4 linked regions of the Macaca mulatta genome follow. The protein of the gene in region 4 purifies or fractionates together with the protein of the main gene of each other region. This does not show direct contact. Links are inferred from orthologs where the notes say so. Each region holds a gene or a part of one and is shown on either strand. Other genes may lie near its edges.

Region 1 (4,933 bases), on a different chromosome or scaffold from region 4:
GAGGTCACACAGCCAGTCCATGAACCCAGGGCAGATGGGAACTGCGGAGGCGCGGCCTTTACAGTTGCCCGGGCCAGGTGGGTGTCTCCCAGACGGAGGGGTACCCTCACCCGCTGCCGTAGCCGCTCGGCCTCTGCACGCTGAGCCTCCAGCTGCTGCCTCCACTGGGCTGCGGCGGCGTTGGCCTCTCGCAGGGCGCCTGCCAACTTGTTGTTGCTGTCCTGCAGCGCGAAAAACTCGGCCTCCCACTGTACCTCGCCTACGGAGCTGCGGGGACACGAGGGTCGGCAGGGGGTGACACCGGGCTTGAGGGTGAAATCAGGGCAATGCTAGGCTGGGACGGGGACAGGGGTGGGATAGCTCTGAGCTTAGGTCAGGGCCAAGGCTGGCGAGGATGCAGAGTTGGGCGGGAGGTTGGACCAGGGGGCGGGGCCAGGGTGGGGTGGCACTGGGTTGGGGGCGGAGTCAGCAGCAATGCTGGGCTGGGGGGGTGGCCATGGGTGGGTGGTGCTAGGCTGGGGCGGAGTCACGGGCAATGCTGGGCTAGGAGGCGGGGCCAGAGGTGGGGTAGCTCTGGGGTGGGGGACTGAGTCAGGGCCACGCAAGGCTGGGGACGTGGCGACACTGAGCGCTGAGCCTGGGGATGGCACAGTCCCGCAGAAGTGGGGTCTTGTAGAGGACCGAGTCAAAGAAGGGGGCACATGGAATCTACCCAGTGACACTGTCGGAATGGCGGGGGAGGGATGGGAGTTTGGGGAGAGTCAGCCTATGGGGGCGTGGTCGGGGTGGGGAGGCGCCCCAGGATTATCCTAAACCCAGAGAGACATAGACTGGGCGAGGTTAGCAGCGAGACAGGGGTGGGGTCAATACGGAGGGGCGTGGCCAACGCAGGGTAGGGGCGGGGTCGGCTCTGGATGGGGCAGCATCCATATCCTCATCCCCTTCCCCAGATCTTGGGTCCACAGTTAGATCCTTGGCACTCCCTTGGCTTCCGAGAACCGCCTCCTCATCCCCCACCCCGACCCCCGCCCATGCCACGCCCCCAAGTCCCGCCCCTCACCCCTCAGACAGCATCTTCTTTAGCCGCTCCCGCTCTGTGGGGCCGGGGGCATCAGCGCTCTGGCTGCGGAACAGTTTTTCCTCGCCGGGGCCGTTGGCACTGACGAGGGGGCTCGGGGGCACCTGTGCATGGGGAAGAGTAGGTCACGACCCCACATCAGCTGGGATCAAGGCTGATGTGACTGGGGTCGTCACATCGGGGGTCCAACTGACCTACGCACCCTAAGCAGGTCCTTCACAGCACAGGATCCAAGTGTGTCCCTCCCCCACCTCATGCACCCTCCATGGCTCCCTATGGCCCCTAGGCTGGGAGTTCCATGCCCACGCCCTCAACCTTGCCTTCCTGGGCTTTCACCATCCCCAGGAGCAAGTCTGATGCAGGTTAGTCTAAACCAAGATACTTGGAACCTGTAAAGTAGGGGAGGGGGACAATCGAACAGCTCCCTGCTTTCCCTTCCCTGCGGCCGAACTTCAACATCCCATTTAGGATGTCAGCAGGAAGTCCAGCCCAGGCTGAATCCATATTTCAGGAGCAACCCCACTGCCTGGACCACTGGCTTTGAGGGTAGACAGAGTCCAGCCTGATTTTTTTCATCTCAGCAACCCCTCTGCACAGCCCTGGACCTGGTACCCAGCAGGTGCTCAATAAATAAAGCTGACTAAATTAATATGGGAAAACACACAGGGACAGTTAGTTGTTCTGCCTCACACTTAGCCATTTCTTTCTTTCCTTTTTTTCTTTGAGACAGAGTCACACTCTGTCACCCAGGCTGGAGTGCAGTGGCACGATCTCGGCTCACTGCAACCTCCACCTCTTGGGTTCAAGCGATTCTCCGGCCTCAGCCTCAGCCTCCTGGGACTACAGGTGCATGCTACCACGCCTGGCTAATTTTTGTATTTTTTAGTAGAGACAGGGTATCACCATGTTGGCCAGGCTGGTCTTGAACTCCTGGCCTCAAGTGCTCCTCCCGCCTCAGCCTTCCAAATTGCTGGGATTATAGGCGTGAGTCACTGCGCCCGGCCACACTTAGCATTTCAATTTCTAGTCTTCCATCCTGCCATCTGAGCTGATTTTTTTTTTCCCATGACAGAGTCTCACTCTGTCACCCAGGCTGGAGTGCAGTGGTGCAATCTCAGCGCACTGCAACCTCCACCTCCTGGGTTTACGCCATTCTCCTGCCTCAGCCTCCTGAGCAGCTGGGACCACAGGCGCCCGCCACCATCCCCGGCTAATTTTTTTTTTAGTAGAGACGGGGTTTCACAATGTTAGCCAGGATGGTCTCGATCTCCTGACCTCGTGATCCGCCCACCTCGGCCTCCCAAAGTGCTAGGATTACAGGCGTGAGCCACCGCGCCCGGCCTGAGCTGGTCTTGCTACTGGGACCTACTGGGTGCACCCCGCCGGCCCCAGGCAAGGTCCAGACCCTCTATGACACACTCCACACCCCTCCTCCGTGGTCCCTGCCATGGGTCTAACTTTAGGTCATCTGGAAGCATTGGGTCTTGAGGACCAGCACAGTGCCCCAGTCTCCCAATATCAAGGTCCCCTAATATCCGTTGAGCACCTGGCTGACTCACAGGTGCCCAGGCAGGCATAGGAGAGTAGGGAGTGCTGACCTGGTGGGAGGCGAGCCCCAGGGCTGGACTGGTGAGCTCCCCGCCATCCTGAGATTTCTCCCTGGCCAGCCTGGCTGCTTCCTTCACCTCCTGGAACTTCTCAGCAAACTAAGGGAGTGGGGAGGAAAAGACAGTAAAACCCCAGTCCATCCTCCCAAACACGTCACCATCACCCAGTGACAGCCCCGTAACTTTTGAACTGTACCCATCCCCTTATCACACACCTTGGAAGAAGGAAAGTTTGAAGAATGATAAACCACGGTGGGTGGGCAGGTGGCATGAGATCACAGAGGTGGCATTTAAATACATTGGGCCACGCTGAGAAAGGGAAAGGAATTCCCGTTTTCTCTTTTTCTTTTTAGGAAAGGGTCTCACTTTGTCACCCAGGCTGGAGTGCAGTGGCATGATCTGGGCTCACTGCAGACTTGACCTCCCTGGCTCAAGTGACCCTTCTACCTTATCCCTCCACTAAGGAGCTGGGACTACAGGTGTGTGCCCTCATGCCTGGCTAATTTTTTCTAGAGACGGGGTCTAGCCATGTTCCCCAGAATGGCCCTTTTCCTCTTTTTTTTTTTTTTGAGATGGAGTCTCGCTCTGTTGTCCAAGCTGGAGTGCAGTGACATGATCTTGGCTCACTGCAGCCTCTGCCTCAGCCTCCTGAGTAGCTGGGATTACAGGCATGCACCACCATGCCTGGCTAATTTTCATATTTTTTTTTTTTTTTTTTTTTTGAGACGGAGTCTCGCTCTGTCACCCAGGCTGGAGTGCAGTGGCCAGATCTCAGCTCACTGCAAGCTCCGCCTCCCGGGTTCCCGCCATTCTCCTGCCTCAGCCTCCCGAGTAGCTGGGACCACAGGCGCCGCCACCTCGCCCGGCTAATTTTTTGTTTTTAGTAGAGACGGGGTTTCGCCATGTTAGCCAGGATGGTCTCAATCTCCTGACCTAGTGATCCGCCCGTCTCGGCCTCCCAAAGTGCTGGGATTACAGGCTTGAGCCACCGCGCCCGGCCAATTTTCATATTTTTAGTAGAGATGGGGTTTCACCATGTTGGCCAGGCTGGTCTTAAATTCCCGACTTGAAGTGATCCTCCTGCCTCAGCCTCCCAAAGTGCTGGGATTACAGGCACAGCACCCAGCATTTTTTTGTTTTGTTTTGTTTTGTTTTGAGATGGAATCTCGCTTTGTCACCCAGGCTGGAGTGCAGTGGCACCACCTCGGCTCACTGCAACCTCTGCCTCCCAGGTTCAAGTGATTCTTCTGCCTCAACCTCCTGAGTAGCTGGGATTACAGGCCCGCACCACCACGCCTGGCTAATTTTTGTATTTTTAGTAGAGACGGGGTTTCACCATATTGGCCATGCTGGTCTCGAACTCCTGACCCCATGATCCACCTACCTCGGCCTCCCAAAGTGTGAGAACGACAGGTATGAGCCAACACATTGGGCCCCTTTTCATCTTTATCAGGGCTATTTCAACAAAGACAGCCTGAGGTGGGTGCTAATCTGTCTTTAACACCTGTTATTATTCCTTTTTTTAAATTTTATTTTTTTAGGTCTCAGGCTCTGAGAGACATCGGAAGTCAATGAGAAAGTAGTCATCCCATTCTTGTTTTTGTTGTATTAAATGCTTACATGTTTACATTTACCACCTATTTATGACAAGCAATACCAGTTTTCCAGTTAGAATAGGATAGGTTTCCCCCCATACCCTGGTTTTAAAATAAATGTCCTTCGTTTAAAAATAATTTTTGGCCGGGCGCGGTGGCTCACACCTGTAATCCCAGCACTTTGGGAGGCCAAGGCAGGCGGATCACGAGGTCAGGAGATCGAGATCATCCTGGCTAACACCATCCTGGCTAACATGGTGAAACCCCGTCTCTACTAAAAGTACAAAAAATTAGCCGGGTGTGGTGGCAGACGCCTGTAGTTCCAGCTACTTGGGAGGCTGAGGCAGGAGAATGAAGTGAACCCAAGACGCAGAGCTTGCTGAGCTGAGATTGGGCCACTGCACTCCAGCCTGGGCAACAGAGCAAGACTCCAACTCAAATAAAATAAAATAAAATAAATAAATAAATAATTTTTTTTTCAGGCTGGGTGCAGTGGCTCAGGTCTGCAATTCCAACACTTTGGGAGGCCGAGGTGGGTGGATCATTTGAAGTCAGGAGTTCGAAACCAGCATGGCCAACATGGTGAAACCCCATCTCTACTAAAAACACAAAAATTAACCGGGCATGGTGGCGGGCACCTGTAATCCTAGTAC
Region 2 (4,593 bases), on a different chromosome or scaffold from region 4:
TTTCGTTCCTTCCCAGATCGAAGAGGTTCCTGGTGAGCTCATGCAGGAAGACCTGGCTACGGATGATGTCATGCTTCTGGACACCTGGGACCAGGTGGGTGAAGGACAGGTGAAGGCTGTCTCTGCCAGAGGGAGTGGGAGAAACTAGACTTCCAGTTCTATGATCAGTTGCTAGAAGGACCTAAAAGAGGCAGCGCCAGGTGTTGCCAGAAAAGTCTCTAGGCTACTGGAAGTCACTTCCTCTTTCTGAGCTTCCATTTCCTCATCTGTAAACTGGGAGTGGCGGTACCTTCCTTGCAGATACACTCACCTTGAAAGCTGCAAAATGCCCTATAAAGCCAAATCACATGACCTTCATCATTCTCTCCCAGGCCTTGCAGGAGCATGAACTCTTCCTTTAAATCTGTTGGCGGGGGATGTTGAACTTAGCAGCATCTTGTTTGCAGGCATAAACTGTCCAGTGTCACCTAGCGACTCTAGAGGGCTCCTGCTTCTGGTTTGGGGGCTCTTGGCTCTGTCTCCACTTCATCTCCTAGAGAAGGCCATTATGTAGGACTTCTTGGCAGGGGAAGGTGCCATTCACTCACTCAACCAGTATTAATTGGGCACTGCTTTGTACCAGGTGCTTTATGTTTGAGATGCTAGGGATAGAGCAATAAATAAAGTAGGCGTTTTCGTGCCCTCCCAGGGCTTACGTTCTCACGGGGGTGTCAGGTCAGTCATCTTTCCTATCAAGGTGGCTTCTCCCAGCGTCCTCAGAGTTATGGAGTGACTGACCACGAAGGCATAAGAATACACTACCCACAGTGCTGGTCGGAATACCCGGTTGGAAGATCAGGACCAAAAATGGTTGCAGCTTGAGCCATTCAGCAGTTGTCATTGATTGATCCATTGGCTACTTAATCTGTTTGTTCATCTGTTAGGGATTCAGTCAGCCAACATTTATTCAGCACCACTGTCTTCCAGGCAAATGCTGAGTGCTGAGAATCCTATGATAAGCAAAATAGATAGAATGCCTGCCTTCGAGGGGCTTCCACTTTAGTTGGGAACACATTTATAAATAAGTAAGAGAGGGCCAGACACGATGGCTCATGCTTGCAAACCCAGCACTTTGAGAGGCTGAGGTGGGCAAATCACTTGAGGTCAGGAGTTCAAGACCAGCCTAGCCAACGTGGTGAAACCCCGTCTCTGCTAAAAATACAAAAAAATTAGCCAGGTGTGGTGGTGGGTGCCTGTAATCCCAGCTACTCAGGAGGTTGAGGCAGAAGAATCACTTGAACCCAGGAGGCGGAGGTTGCAGTGAGCTGAGATCACGCCACTGCACTCCAGTCTGGATGACAGAGTGAGACTCTGTCTTAAAAAAAAGTGAGAGAAACCAAGTCTGACATTTTACTGTCTAATGCCATTTTATCAATGATAGGTGCTCTTTGAAGTAATATTTTAGATATGCATAAAAATAGATGATACATAAAAATCAGCTCAATAATGTGACATAAAACTTGTAACAAGACTCAAAATGGGGATCACGGTGGGTGAGTTATTTTTATTCCAAGCCGTAGGCCCATTTTGATGAAGATGCACACAGACTGGGATGTAGTAGACTCTCGGTGCATATTTGTTGGATGAATAAATGAGTGAGAATATTTTGGCCACTCATTTGTTGAACGAGTGAATGCTGTTCAGAGACAACTTATGGACCTTTAGAGAAGAATCTCGAACTCAATGCCTGATGGCACCTGGCTGGCAGTGTTAGCGAGTGAAGCAGACTGGGATGGGGAGATGTGAAGGAACAGTGGAGTCTGAGGCAAACTAGAACCGCCCATCTCAAAGGGCCGGCTCCTGCACAGCTTGACTCAAGTGAGGTTTGAAGGCCCAGGCTGCTAAATCCTCCAGTTTTTTAAGAGAAGTTGGAAATCTAGATTTTTATGTCACCAATAGTTTAAAAAGACATTGTTGGCCAACACAAGGTGGTGGGTGAGCAAACAAAACATGTTTGTAGGTTGCTGGCTTTCAACCTCTGTTCCAGATTCCTCCAGTGTTAGTTCATGGGCTCTCTTAGTAGGGGCTTAAAAAGGGCTTTGTCTTTTCTGACACCTGGCCCCTCCCCAGTCTTCCTCCAGCCGTGCATTTGGTCAGCACCCCTCATGTACCTTTCATGTCTCATCTCACCTCCAGGTCTTTGTCTGGGTTGGAAAGGATTCTCAAGAAGAAGAAAAGACAGAAGCCTTGACTTCTGGTGAGGACCCAAGTCCCTGGGGGAAGGGGGGGTCCGTTGCTTGTGGGGTGGTGGGAGTGGCTTCTGTACAGGTCTGGGAATGAGCATCATTTCTAGGGGACTGATGGACAAGATAGGGTGGGGACTTCCTCCTCTGTGGCCAGCCCCTTATAAGTCCTGCCTGGGGTAGTGAAGAACACATCTTTCAGAAGCCTCAGGGTTTCTGAAGGAACTGATCTGTTCCAGAGGAAGGAAGGAACAGATGAGAAGTCTCTTCAAGTTCCCAGAATACTCAGGAGCTGAACTTGTCAAGGTTTAGATGTGGCAAAGCAGGCCAGGCATGGTGACTCATGCATGTAATCCCAGCATTTCGGGAGGCCAAGTCAGGAGGATCACTTGAGCCCAGGAGTTTGAGAGTAGCCCAGGCAACATAGTGAAACCCCATCTCTAGAAAAAATACAAAAAAATTAGCCAGGTGTGTTGGTGTGTAGCCGTGGTCCCAGCTACTCAGGAGGTTGAGGTCAGAGGATTGCTTGAACCCAGGAGTTCGTGGCTGCTGTGAGCCATGATTGCATCACTATACTGTAGGCTGGGTGACAGAACGAGATGGTGTCTCAAAATGAAAAAAAAAAAAAAAGAAAAAGATGTTGCAAAGCAGATTCCGGGTAGCTGAATAGATCTGATTTATGGGCTGGGAACCCAAAAATTGGTTCCCATATCTTCCAGTAGGGGACTACAAGGGAAAGTAATAAACTTTATGAAGCAGGAGGTTAAGCCATAACTCCATCCCTTCCTGTGTTCCTGAGCAGGGTGGTAGAGAACCCACGTGGGTATCATGCCTTTAAAGGAGGATGGTGCCCAGGGCAGGGGGTGGGCAGTAGGGACAGTAGGACCATAGACCTACTGTCTTTTGACCTTTGACCTACTGTCTTTTGACCTTTGACCTTCTTTGTCAACTGCTGTCCTGAGTCACCCTCTCCCTGGTGTGGGAGGCACTAAGAATTCCTGGGGTTTCCTTTTCTTGCACGTGTGTCTGTAGCTAAGCGGTACATCGAGACGGACCCAGCCAATCGGGATCGGCGGACGCCCATCACCGTGGTGAAGCAAGGCTTTGAGCCTCCCTCCTTCGTGGGCTGGTTCCTTGGCTGGGATGATGATTACTGGTCTGTGGATCCCTTGGACAGGGCCATGGCTGAGCTGGCTGCCTGAGGAGGGGCAGGACCCACCCATGTCACCGGTCAGTGCCTTTTGGAACTGTCCTTCCCTCAAAGAGGCCTTACAGCGAGCAGAGCAACTCTGCTATGAGTGTGTGTGTATGGTTTTTTTGTTTTTTTGTTTTTTACAGTATCCAAAAATAGCCCTGCAAAAATTCAGGGTCCTTGCAAAATTGTCTAAAACATCTGTGTTTGGGAAATTAAATTCAATAAAAACATTTTGAAGTGTGTACTCTAGTGTGGCTCAGCTGTTTCCTTGTGTCCATCTGACAGTGAGAGCGAGCGTCTGCCCTGTCTATGTCCCTGGTAATTCTGAGAATGCCCAGAGAGGTGCCTCGCATTTGCCTGTGAACTAGCAGAAAAGCTGCATCCACCCTGTGTGTGAATCCTGGTGCCCTGAGAGGCGATGCCACAGTGAGATGAGAGGTGTGTAGATTGTCCTGGGGGATACCTATGTGAAAGGAAATAGGGAGGGCCCAGGCGCGGTGGCTCACACATGTAATCCCAGCACTTTGGGAGACTGAGGCGGGCGGATCACCTGAGGTCACGAGTTCAAGACCAGCCTGGCCAACATGGTGAAAGCCCGTCTTTACTAAAAATAAAAAATCAGCCAGGTGTGGTGGCACATGCCTGTAATCCCAGCTACTCAGGAGGCTGAGACAGAATCTCTTGAACCCAGGAGGCGGACGTTGCAGTGAGCTGAGATCGTGCCATTGCACTCCAGCCTGGGCGACAGAGCGAGATTCTGTCTCAAAAAAAAGGAAATAGGTGGGGAACCAAGGAAGACTGGGAGAGCCATCAGACCCTAGACGCAGGTCTGACCCTAGGTGGAGAAAAAGGGGAGAGAAGGTTGCACGAAGTGTCTTAGTGGTCATTTATTTAATCCAGGAAGATTTGGCAAAGCTTGTCGGCAGTCCCAAAGCCAAATTCAGTGTTCCTTTTAAATTTAATGGTATAGTCCCATTTTCATTGTTTTTTACTGTGGCAAACTACATAACAACGTATTTATTTTAACCATTTGTAAGTGTGTATTTCGGTAACATTGCATATACAGTGTTGTGTAGCCATCACCACTCTCTGTACCTAAACCTTTTTGATAATCCCCAGTATAAACGCTCTGCCCGTTAAATACTAATCCCCCATTCTTCCCTATTCGCCAGCCCC
Region 3 (5,733 bases), about 100 Mb from region 4:
TCATTAGCAGGGAGAGCCCTATTTTATTTATAAGCAGCTCTTAATAAGAGAAGGGAGGGAAAGAATTCTTTACCATTGCTGATGGCACAAGGTTACCAATATGAGCTAAGTAAAAACAAAGGGTGTCGTGAAATAACTGGTTGAGGTTACTTGATTTCTGTTGCCTACTCTAATAGTTCTGAAATAGCTACTGATTCACTGCTGTCATTATGAGATACTATTTGGAGGTGGGGGGTGGGGGGTGGGGGTCATACCTAACAGGGGCTTCTCACAGAGGTTTCAAAACTTTTCAGAGACTTCATTTTATATATGTGAATGCCTTAATTTTTAGGGGATGTGATACACCTATTTTACAAACCCATACTTTAGTTGCCTTCACTGCAATTAACAGTTCATGCAACATCCAAGATACTTTGACAGACTTTGCCAACTGTCAAGTTTCAGCTGTTCTTTTCCATTTCCACAAAGTTCATAAACTACTATTAGGGGAGCCATAATTTTTTTCTGCCCAATCACTGATTTTATTAAAAATAATTCCTTTGCTTAGACTGCCCCTAGACTTGCAATAATTATCTACAATTAAGACAAAGATAAATCCTTATCATAACCTAACATTAGTTTAAAAAAAAAAGTTGTAATATATGAAACACTTTACCCAGAGTATTAAATGTTAGATATCTATTACAGCAAGGTAATTAATGATTGCTAAGGTAAAGCTTTAAAGGCCATTTAAAGCCCTGTTTCCTTTTGTTTGAAATAGGCCCAGGCAGCTATGCGAATTCCACAAACATTTATTAGGCATAAATACGCATAAAGTGTAGAAACATCAGCAAATGCCTTTGCTTTGCTGTACGCTCTTCTACTTCCACCTACCCTTCCTCTCTCAACTCAGATAAAACAAGGCACTATCAATGAGAAAGGGTAATAGCCCCAAACACAGGCTTTCCAAAAAATAGCACCACAAAATGCTCGCTCCTTTTTCTCCTCAGTCCATATATAGGACTTTATTGACTAAAGGACAGATACATTCATTTATAAACAAATTAATTATGCTAAGTGTCTAAATACATGTTATGTGTGGGGCTTACTTTCCCATTTTAAACAGTAGCCCCTTCAGTATTAAATTCATCCTGTCTCTTCCGGTTCTAGGCACTTCAGGAGCCGTAGCTTAAGGTGCAAACATAACCAAGACCAACAACCACACCACACACAACCAGTCCTGAAAATGGCACAGAAATGGTATCAAGAAATCCCAATCACAAAGATACGAATCTCTTAAGGGGGTGGACCCCAAGTTCCTGAGGAACATGCGATTTGCCAAGAAACACAACAAGAAGGGCCTAAAAAAGATGCAGGCTAACAGTGCCAAGGCCATGAGTACATGTGCCAAGGTTATCAAGGCCCTCATAAAGCCCAAGGAGGTTAAGCCCAAGATCCCAAAGGGTGTCATCCGCAAGCTCAATCAACTTGACTACATTGCCCACCCCAAGCCTGGGAAGCATGCTCATGCCCGCACTGCCAAGGGGCTCAGGCTGTCCTGGCCAAAGGCCAAGGACAAGGATAAAACCAAGGCCCAGGCTGCAGCTCCAGCTTCAGTTCCAGCTAAGGCTCCCAAAGGTGCCCAGGCCCCTACAAAGGCTTCAGATTAGATATCTGTCTGCCAACGTGAGGACAGGACTGGTGCAACCCCCAACCAGGCTGCCACCTGCATGGGGCTGGGGTCCTCCTGTGCTATTTGTACAAATGAACCTGAGGCAGGAAAAAAATATTCAGCCTAAGCTTCCCTTGGTAAAATGACAGGCATTCATGCAGCTTAAAGGTTGTGGAAAACTGATTTTCTTCCATGATGCTACTACTTCACAGTCTAGACAAAATGCAGCCATCAACATGAAAAACTGCTGCTTGATTTTTTTTTCCTCCAACATGTTTTAAACAGAGCTGCAGATGCTCAAGGGAAGCCATATTTCTAAGGTTTTGAACAGTAGTATTTTTCAGTATTTTTCTCATGTAAAATTGGTGCAATTCATCCAGAACATTTTTCAAATGCCATTATTTTTCAGCGTTAAGTGCTTAAACTGCTTAGAGAGAAAAAGGTCTCCATCAGAAAGATCGACTTCCAGAAACCAACTAGTGATCATTAAAATGAGGAGAATAAAAAGAAAATAATTCATTTTTTACAGTTTGAAGAAATCTTTAAGTCATCTCTAATTCCTTCATTTTACAGATAAGAAATAGAGTCCACAGAGGTTAAGCAATTTGCCTCAGATCACTAAGCTACTAATAGCAGCGCTAGAAATAGAATGAGGCATTTTAATTACTCTTAGCAGTACCCCCAAATCATGCAAGTTATATATACTCTCATCACTTGTCATTCAAGTTTTTAAAACAATTATCACTTTGTCATTCATTTCTGAGGAAAGTCTCCTACAACACGTTCTAAATTTTCAAAGTTATGCATATTAAACTTCAAATTCTAACTCCAAAAAGAAGGTACTATTCAGGAACTTTCCTCAGAAAGTTTCAAGCGTGTGTACACCCCTAAACCATCACAATGAATTTCAGAGTCCATTCTTTCAAAACCTGTCCCTCAACTACACTTTAGATGTGTTTGTTCAACGACACACACACACACAAAGAGAGAAAATTCTGGATGTTCTTCCGCCAAAAACCAATGACAATCTGTCAATGAAATCAGATTACTCCATTAATATATTATGGGTTTCCAGCTTAAATTAGGAAGTGTCACTAGCATTTCATCAACCCACAGTGTGAAGAGTTAATAAAAGACTGGAAAATGCACTCTAGGTTGGTTCTGGGTCCGAAGGAAGGTGTAGATCTGATATTGTTAACACAAACTGAAGGGCTGAGCTTAAAAGCGAAAAACAAAAGGAGTGAACAAGTTCCTTAAACAAAAAGCCTTTTCGTACGGAATGCACCCGCACCGTGGTGACCGCATCAGTAAGACTGAATTTCAGATTTTCGTTTTAACGTCCCAGTAAATCAATTCTATACATTTTAGCTTTGGATATTCAAGGGCAAAAGAGAGGGCACCGTGAGGGCAACAATTTACTCTGGATCACTTTCAAGGACTGTTGTCTAACCACTCATTACAATCGTTCCTTTGTGCAACTGATTATCTAAAAGTACTGAGAGAGTGTAGTACTTCTCTTTGAAAGATAACCATCAGCAAAAGCTAAGACAATGTGATTCTGATGACAAACTGATGCAGCAGTCTGACCAGTAAAGTGTAGAATGCGTTGTCTTTGTAAATATTACTCACAAATCCATATTCAAGTTACAAACGATGTATGTGTTTACGACCTCTGGTACCGCTCTACAAAAAGGCAAAAATAACCTAAAAGGTTAGCATGCCTATTTCTTTAAAGTATGACCAGCTTAGCAAGGTGGCAAGTTTGTTTGAAAACACAAAACGCAATCACCACCACCGCTCAATAATACACATACATAAACAGATTCGAAGCTGTGTTAAGCACAAAAATCCTTACCCCATTTTGCCCAATGAAAACTTGCTCTGAAGTTTCAGCTCTTATGCTACGGAATAACTTCCAAAGGAATTTCTCCGTCTGCTATTTCGCAGTTGATTTTCCACCCCCACCCCTAGATCCTTGTCCGGAGGTATTTCAAGGATGCTGCCAATTCAATTAGTTCTCTTAGGTAAAATGATTTCTTTCTTGTAAATACCAAAACGTTCAAACAGAGGCGGCATTTGCTTATTCGAGTTAAAACGCTTTGCGGAGGAGACAGCGATCAATTCTATTCCACAAAACGAGTCTACAAGTAGGAAAATGCAGAATCCGGCTTCACCGAGTCCTATAAAAAAATGAGTTCGCTGGTCATTTCACTCATGTCCTCCTCGACACTCAGGGAAAGCCAGGTAACTCGGCCTTTTCAGAGCTAAGGCTGCGGGTTCAAATTTCTCCACCACACCAGGTCCCCGGGGGTGGAGCGAGCAACCAAACGCGACGTGCACGTGAATAAAAATCCCAAAAGCAGTAATGCCACGGCTTCCCTGCGCTCACATTAGGAAAAAAACTACATAGAAAAATCTCCTCGAAGTGCAAATCCGGCAGCTCCCAACCTGCACGGCACTCCACATTGGAATCTGTCTTTTTTAATGTTTCTTCTCCTAAGACTCGGAGCAGAGAAGAGGTGGGGAGGAGGAAGAGAAGGCTGGGCAGGATCGATTCATTCTCCCGAGGAGAATAAACGGAGCCATTTCCAGGCTGGCAGCAGGCTGGGGGCGCAGCGCACGCCGGGGAGCTGGAGAAGGGGGCCCGATCCCACCTCCCTCAGCCCCTTCCCGCCCCCCGCCGCCGAGCACAATGGAGCCCGGCTCGCGCCCGGCCCTTCATTCGCGGCTGCCCCCTCTTCCCTCCTCTCTTCAGAGCACAGCGGATCTGAGGCTCCCGTCGGCGGAGAATGAATGAATCACAGAGCCAAGCCCCACGCTTCCACTGGCGCCCTGCCCCCAGCTCCAGGGCGGGCGAAAGGGGCCGAAGGGTCGACGGGCGCCTGCCCGAGCCAAGGCGGGAGGCTAAGACCGCGTCGGGGCCAGGAGAGCTGGGCTCGAAGCCGAAGCGCAGCCGCCGCTCCAGCGCCCCCACCCCTGCTCCTCGTCTCTCACGCTCCGCGCCGCCGCCACGCGCCGCCTCACATTCCCCGGGCCCCGCCGCCGCCTCTTCACACTTCCATCAGCGCCCGCCTCCGCCGGCCTCCGGCTCCCGCCGGGCAGAGCAGCGCCAGCCCCGGCGGCCTGAAGCCCGCCGCTGCCTCCGCCTGCACCGGCCGGCTGGCAGAGCGGAGGGTGCCGCTTTCCCAGTCAGCGCCGCCGGCGTGAGGCGAGCGCGGAGGCAGTGGGCTGCGGGGGGCGGGAAGGGGGCGGAGAGAACGGGGGGGCGAGGGCGGTACCTCCCCCTGCTCGCGGGAGAGGGCGGGAGGCGGTGGCCGCCGCGGAGCCGCGGCTGGGGGCTGGTGCGCGGACGGGTCCCGGGAGCCCGACGGGCCCTGCGGGCAGTGGGCAGCGGGAGCAAGCAGCAGCCGCGAGGCGGCGGAGAGGATGGTGGTGCGGGGCCGAGCGGCCCTCGTGGGGAGCTGGGCCGGCGGCAGGCCCTCAGTCCGTCCGTCCTTGTTTTCCCCCCTCCCCTAGAGGCCGGCGGCTGGCGGGCCGTGCGCTCTGCTCCTCCGCTGGCTCTTGGCCCCGCTCCCGGCCGCCACAGCCTCCTCCGCGCCCCACACCAGGTGCTCGCGCTGTGTCTCCATCCTCCCCGCAGGAGGACCTTTAAGTAGCAACGTCAGCGCGCTCCTCTCCGCACACACGTCACCCGCTGCTCACGTCACCGGGGTGCGGGGGATGATGTCACGCGGCCGGAAGTACTGCTAAATTAGGGAAGGAGCAGGGGGAGGAGGACTCGGCGAGCTCCTGTGTGCCCACCTGCTCTCGCTTCTCCTTAAAGGCCAAAGCACAGGAGACAGCCCGAGAGGAGCTCGAACAAGGAAGCGGCGGGAGGAGATTTCCTTGCAACAAATGTGCCAAACCGGAGTGAATCATTCGTAGCAGAAGTGCAGAAGTGTCAAGCGGGTAATATCCTATCTCCCACTCCCACCGCTGTTGCAGCAGCACCCCCGGGCTTCTCCTGTCCTAACTAGCAGGGAAATGTGGGAGGGAGAGCCTGATCACACTACTGGTAGATGTACTTCCAACAAGAACTTCGG
Region 4 (5,707 bases):
CCATGCACAGATGAGAAACTGAGGCAGAGCCCAGGGACCCTAGTTCCTAGAGACTGCTCTAGACATCAAGCGTCCCTGAGAGGACCTGTCTTGGCCTGCCCAGGCTCCCTGGGGCGCCTTCCATCCTCAGCCCCTGCCTACCCACCTCCGGCCACCTTTTCCTGCTCCAGCGACAGCCCTTCTCCAGCAGAAACCATACCCCAGTTCAAACCCTCCAGCCTGCCTTTCCATCAGACTGCCCTGTCCACACCACACACTTGGGCCACACTGGACGGCTCCCTGACCCAGGCAGGGTTCTGGACAGGGCTCACCCTGGAGCCTCTGCCTATGTTGTTCTCTTCACATGGAAGGCAAGACCTGCTCCTCTACCCCACGCTTATTCCCAGTGGAATCCTCCCGTTCTTCAGAGCCCAGTGCTGGCTGCTGGCCCCCGGCAGCCTCCCCTGAGCTGCCCCTCCCAGAGCACCCACCACATCCCAGCAGGAATACAAAGACCAGTGCTTCTCAAACACATCAGAGGCATCCCGAGCCTGGTGCTGCACCAGGTGGAAGCTGGTGAAACCACAGGGAATCAGGATGGGGTAGAGGACCCCTACATATCTTACCAGCTCCAACTCCTAGAGACAGACACTGCCCCCAACTGTAAGCCTCCTGAAGGCAGGAACGCTGACTCAGTCAATCAGCACATCCTGCTCTCTGGGTCCTGGGGTCCAGCACACCGCACACCATAAGCATGTGTAATATTGACACCAACTTAGAAGCCATCTAGCCAGAGATACTGAACTAGTGTGAGATGGGAGCTGGAATGTGGCAGTTCCAGAGACCCTCGGGTGAGCTGGGGTTGGGGGGTGAGGGCAGGTGGACCCCTCAGGACCATCACTCTCAGGATGGTGGTGCTAGAAAGTCCTTCAGTATCTGAGGTAGGGCTGGGCCCAATCCTTTTTCTTTCCAAGAGGACCAGGAACTTGTATATGATCACAGTGAGTCATATCACAACCAGGACAACAGCGGCCCCTCCCACTATACAACCTCATTTCCTGGGTCCCCTGCTCCCTGTGCCAGAGTAGTGGTCCACTTCAGAGGCCCTGCCACCTAGAGTGAACTCCCCCCCAACCACCCCTCCCCATTGGAAGCAAGGTAAGCGGGGGCAGACAGCCATTTACCCGACACCCCTCCCTCTGGACCTACGGGCAGCGTCTGCCTCTGAGTCTTCAGACCTCACTGCACCCCTGGTTCCATGCTGGGCACTGGGGTATTCATATCCTCTTGTGCAGAAAGTGATCCTCACACCCCTTTTTCAAAATGTGATCTGGGCCCGTAGTGAACAAATATGTGCATGTGTGCATCTGTGTGTCCCACACACAACCCAGATGGGGGGTGACGCACACCAGTGATGAATAACTCGCTTTGGCCACATGGATGCTGCTGGGGTGGGGGGGGCAGGCCTCTGTTGAGCAGGATGTTGAGCAACAGGGGTTCTGTGGCCCTGGCAATAGGCCACCAGGGCTATGCTTTTAGGAGAAAATGGGGTGGTGGCAGACAACACCCCTCCAGGCTGGAGGGCGAAGGAGGTGTTCTGGGGTGAGCTGTGCCTCTCCCCAGGCGGGGCCTTACCCTGAAGCCAGCTCCTACACCAGGCCAAGCCGGCCACTTGCCCAGAGCTCCTCCCATGATCTCAGCCCCCTGGGGCAGGGCTGGGACAATGGGTGGGCCGCCTGCCTGCTGAGTCTGTGCTGGCCTCTCCTGTGACTGACCTGCAGGACACGAGAGCTTGTCTCTCTCGCGTCCATCCCTCCAGGCCTGGCTGCTGGCCAGTGCTGCAGTACCATGCCATGGATGCCCAGCCATCTCATCCTCTCCTCCAGGAGCCCCCAGGTCAGAGTCTCCACCTGACTGCCCGCCCAGTGTGTGGGTGAGGCCAGCCCAAGCGGGGTCCTTCAGACCCGCCCTCCTCTTTGCCTCAGTTTCCTCAAGAAGAGCCTGTTCCCATCTGCCAGCGGGGAGAGGAGGCCTAGGAACCAGATGGGCACCTTCCCCAAGAGTATTACGGGGTGGGGCGGGGAGGAAGAGGATTCCAGGATGGGGCAGTGAGGAACCCCTCGGTTTCTTCTTTCCGCCGCCAGCCAGCCCCAGAGCAGGTGGTCCATCCCCTCCCCCAGCTCAGGGGGAGACAGCAGTTGGGGGGCGGGGAGAGGGGCGGCCCAGCTCCTCCCCCATCAGGGACCGAGGGCCCCTTGGTAGGGGCCCGTGGATCTGTTCACCCCTTCAGCCCTCTTTCGGGGCTCCCTCCACACTTGTTCTCCAGAGGGCTTCCTCCCAGGGACCTCAGCTGGCGCCCTAGACAGGCAGCTCAGTGCCCCCCAGCCAGCTGCCTAGTCCCCGCAGTCCCCTTCAGGTAGGGGAGGAGAGCTCACCCCTGCCTCCTCCGCGACCCGCGGCGGTAAGGGAGTCACTTCGCGGTCGCCATGTGGCAGCAAACATCCTTCCACCTCACTCCAGCCCAGGTTTCCGGGGGGAGGGCGGCCCACTCCGAGAGGCCCCCCGGTGGGCGGGGCGCCCGGCCCCCATCCCGCTCCGCTCCTCCCCCGCCCTCGCTTTCCTTTGTGCTGTGGCCGGGCCGGGATGAACCAGGCAGGCTGCGCTGGCTCCGCTAGCTCGGTCCCCGCCCCGTCCCCACCCGGACCTCGCCCGCTCGAAGGTGGCGAAGGTGCCCTTGGCCGCCCCGTGCACACCTGTCCCCCGGGCCCGGGGGTAGGGTGGGGGATGGGCTCCCGCAGGGCCACGCGGCCCTGGGCCCCACATCGGGACCCCGCGCCTCCGGGCCGCGTCCGGCCGCCGCTCCCACCGCGCGCCTGGGGCCGCCTCCGGGCACTTGGGACCCGGCAGTGCCCCGCCTGGCCCGCCGGCCCCTCCCCCGGCGCGCACAAAGGCAGCCCCTCCCGGCCCTCCCGGCCCGCTGCACCATTTCGGGGTCCCCCTCCCTTCCCGGCGGCGGGGCGGCGGGGCGGGAGAGAAACAAAGGCGCGGCGGCGGCGCGGGGACAAAGGGGCCGGGGGCGGGGGCGGGGGGCTCACCAGTCGGCCGCGCTCTCCTCTCGGATCACCTCCTCGTACGCCGCCAGCAGCTCCAGGCGGTGGCCGCTGAAGCTGACGCCGGCCATGCTTCGGGCCGGACCGGGCCGAACGGACAGACGCGCGGACGGACGGGCGGACGGAGGAGGAGGGAGGGAAAGAGGGAGTCGCCGCCGCCGCCTCGGAGCCTCTGCAGCGTCGCGAGCCGAGCGAGCCAGCGGCCGGGGGAGGGGAGCCGGCCGGCGGGGGGCGGGGGGCGCTGGCTCCGCCCGGCTCGCTCCCTCCGCTCGCTCGGTCCTAGCGCCGCCCCGGCCCGGCCCAGGGGGAGGCCCGCCCCCCCTTCCCGGCCTGCCCCGGGCGCCCCCGCGCCCCTCACCCGCCGCCCCTGCGCTCCGCTCCGGGGCCAGCCCCACCCACGTCCCGAACCCTCACCTGCCCCGTCCGTAACTTCGGCGCTAGCCCTCCTTCCAGCCCCGAACCCAGCCCCGTCGCCACCTCCCCCCGCCCACCCCCCGTCCCAATCCGGTCCCGCCCCACCCATTGCTTCATTGATCTCCATTCCTGGTGCGTCCCACTCCATGTTAAACCCATTTTCATCCCAAGCCAGGTCACACACCAGCCCACCCCTGGCCCGTCTCCTTCTCTGAGAGGTCCATGCCTAGTCTATCATCATATCCACTGCCATCTGCATCCCACCCTCAAATCCAACCCAGTTCCTTTCCCATCCCAGCTTCAGCCCCATGCTTAGCACTTTCCCCCTCCCCCGCAACATTTCTCACGGCAACCTCTTCAGTCCAGCCCATCCCAGTCTCATCCTGATCCCAGTTCCCAATTCCCAACCACAGTCCCCCATCTCGGCTCCATGACCAGTTATTCCAGGCCATTCTCAGCCGCTACCCGGCTCATTATCCCTCCATTCCAGGCCTCTCCTCCCCTCCAAGCCTGTGCCCTCTGAGACGGGGCTAGCTAGGAAATCCTTTGCGTTCTCTCCCAAGCCTCAGGCATCCCAGAGGAGTCCCAAGTAGAGTCCCGGAAGCAGCACCTAACCCCAGACTCCCAGGGCAGAGCTCCTCCAAGGACGCTCAGGGCCAGCCTCTTGGCACCTTTATCTCCTAAAACTCTAAGCACAGAAGGGGAGGGGGCCTCAGAAAAGTCCCCTGCAAGGGAGTGGACACCATGCCAGGGCCTCCCAGAACTCCGTTCCTTGCTGGGTGAGGACCCTGAAACCGTCCACAGTGCTCAGTGGACCACAACAAAGTCTCCAACCTCGACCTCCCTGAACAAACTTCACCTGGTCCCATCCGCACCACGGAGGAGGAGGTGGTTCTAGCCCGGCCTCCGAGTTCTGCACTGGGTAACTGGCTATGCCAAGAGAAGGAGAGCAGTGCTGCCTATGTGGCAGCGGTTCCTGGTGCTCTGGAGTTGGGAGAACCCTCTTAAAACTCAAAATGTTCACAGGCCCTGCCTTGGGAAGTCAGTGCCCACTATGTCTAGGGACCACTGGCCGTGGCAGTTTCTCCATGGCCTCTACTAGAGTGAGGCCCAGGCAGGGAGAGACCCAGGCCCTGTGCACTGGACCAACTGGCCAGTAGGTATGGTTGGCATGCAGTGGGGATCCCTAAGGGAGTGGGTGACACAAGGTGGGAAAGGGAAGTGGGGAGAGCCATGGGGGACAGGGCTTCAGTCATCCCCCACCCTGAGGCATGAGAGCAGAATTCTGGGGAGGAGGGAGCCGGGGAGGGGCAGACAGATGGCTGGCCATGAGCATCTGTGGCCTCAGCCTCTTCCAACTTCCTTTGACTTGTCCTAGCTCACAGCTCCTCACCAACCCCCCGCCCGTCCCCCCACCCCCCAGCCTCCTGCACACTCAATTTTGCATCCAAAAAACAGAAGCCCTAAATGCATCTAAGCTCTTCCTTCCTCAAATTCCTGCCTCCCCACCAGCCACCTACAAACTCTCCAGCCACGCCCACTCTCACCTCTTGCCATCAACATTTTTTAAATAAACTTTCTATTTTAGAACAGTGTTAGATTTACAGAAAAGTTACAAAGATAGTATAGAGAGTTCCCATACACCCTGCACTCAGTTTTCCCTATTTTCAGGGAAGCAAGGGTGTTCCCTGCTGGCATGCCCTAGAGCCCACTCCTCTGGTCTCCGCACCCATCACCCTTCCATGTTATCTTCATCCCCTCATTTCTATAGGATGCAGACAGACATCTGTCCTCTGTCTCCTTCTCCCTGCATTTTCCCTGGCACTGCTCTGGCCAAGGTCACCAGTGACCCCTGACTTGCCAAATTCAGTGGACCCATAGTTCTCAGTTGCCCTGACTGGGGGCATGGGTGGCCACTGGTCACTGTTCTCTGAGAACCTGCCTCCTTTCAGCTGCCGTTGCCCCTGAAGCCCACACACTCAGCCTTGGTGGGTGGGCGGCTGGTGGGTTCCTCCCACCAGGACTTCGTGTCTGCCACCCCCAAACTGATCACCCTTCAAGTCGCTGACAGGTCGGTCTCTCCCACCCCCAGAGCATGAGCTCCCCACACACACACCAGGAGGCTGGGCCAATGACTTCTGGATCCCCAGAGTGGAAAAGACGAGACAAGGGAGGACTGAGATCCAGAAACTGGGCCTTTGCTG

Evidence for each region.
Region 1: the proteins of DBN1 (region 4) and HOMER3 purify together in Homo sapiens (co-immunoprecipitation; 3 studies listed by BioGRID and IntAct, counting the BioPlex papers as one, with this or other methods). This does not show direct contact. The link is inferred for Macaca mulatta from reciprocal best matches to the Homo sapiens genes DBN1 and HOMER3.
Region 2: the proteins of DBN1 (region 4) and GSN purify together in Homo sapiens (co-immunoprecipitation; 3 studies listed by BioGRID and IntAct, counting the BioPlex papers as one, with this or other methods). This does not show direct contact. The link is inferred for Macaca mulatta from reciprocal best matches to the Homo sapiens genes DBN1 and GSN.
Region 3: the proteins of DBN1 (region 4) and HOMER1 purify together in Homo sapiens (co-immunoprecipitation; 3 studies listed by BioGRID and IntAct, counting the BioPlex papers as one, with this or other methods). This does not show direct contact. The link is inferred for Macaca mulatta from reciprocal best matches to the Homo sapiens genes DBN1 and HOMER1.

The regions. Positions count from the first base shown.
Region 1 is NC_133424.1:19,490,860-19,495,792, forward strand, and holds part of HOMER3 (homer protein homolog 3), read right to left. Parts: intron 2,785-4,933; coding exon 2,677-2,784; intron 1,183-2,676; coding exon 1,061-1,182; intron 268-1,060; coding exon 111-267; intron 1-110. UniProt on the Homo sapiens protein: Postsynaptic density scaffolding protein. Binds and cross-links cytoplasmic regions of GRM1, GRM5, ITPR1, DNM3, RYR1, RYR2, SHANK1 and SHANK3.
Region 2 is NC_133420.1:36,869,135-36,873,727, reverse strand, and holds the end of GSN (gelsolin), read left to right. Parts: intron 1-16; coding exon 17-94; intron 95-2,175; coding exon 2,176-2,236; intron 2,237-3,254; coding exon 3,255-3,424; 3' UTR 3,425-3,659; downstream 3,660-4,593. UniProt on the Homo sapiens protein: Calcium-regulated, actin-modulating protein that binds to the plus (or barbed) ends of actin monomers or filaments, preventing monomer exchange (end-blocking or capping).
Region 3 is NC_133411.1:85,876,893-85,882,625, forward strand, and holds the start of HOMER1 (homer protein homolog 1), read right to left. Parts: upstream 3,610-5,733; 5' UTR 3,512-3,609; coding exon 3,507-3,511; intron 1,741-3,506; exon of another isoform or gene 1,174-1,740; intron 1-1,173. UniProt on the Homo sapiens protein: Postsynaptic density scaffolding protein. Binds and cross-links cytoplasmic regions of GRM1, GRM5, ITPR1, DNM3, RYR1, RYR2, SHANK1 and SHANK3.
Region 4 is NC_133411.1:186,454,112-186,459,818, forward strand, and holds the start of DBN1 (drebrin), read right to left. Parts: upstream 3,274-5,707; 5' UTR 3,161-3,273; coding exon 3,075-3,160; intron 2,670-3,074; exon of another isoform or gene 2,415-2,669; intron 1-2,414. UniProt on the Homo sapiens protein: Actin cytoskeleton-organizing protein that plays a role in the formation of cell projections. Required for actin polymerization at immunological synapses (IS) and for the recruitment of the chemokine receptor CXCR4 to IS.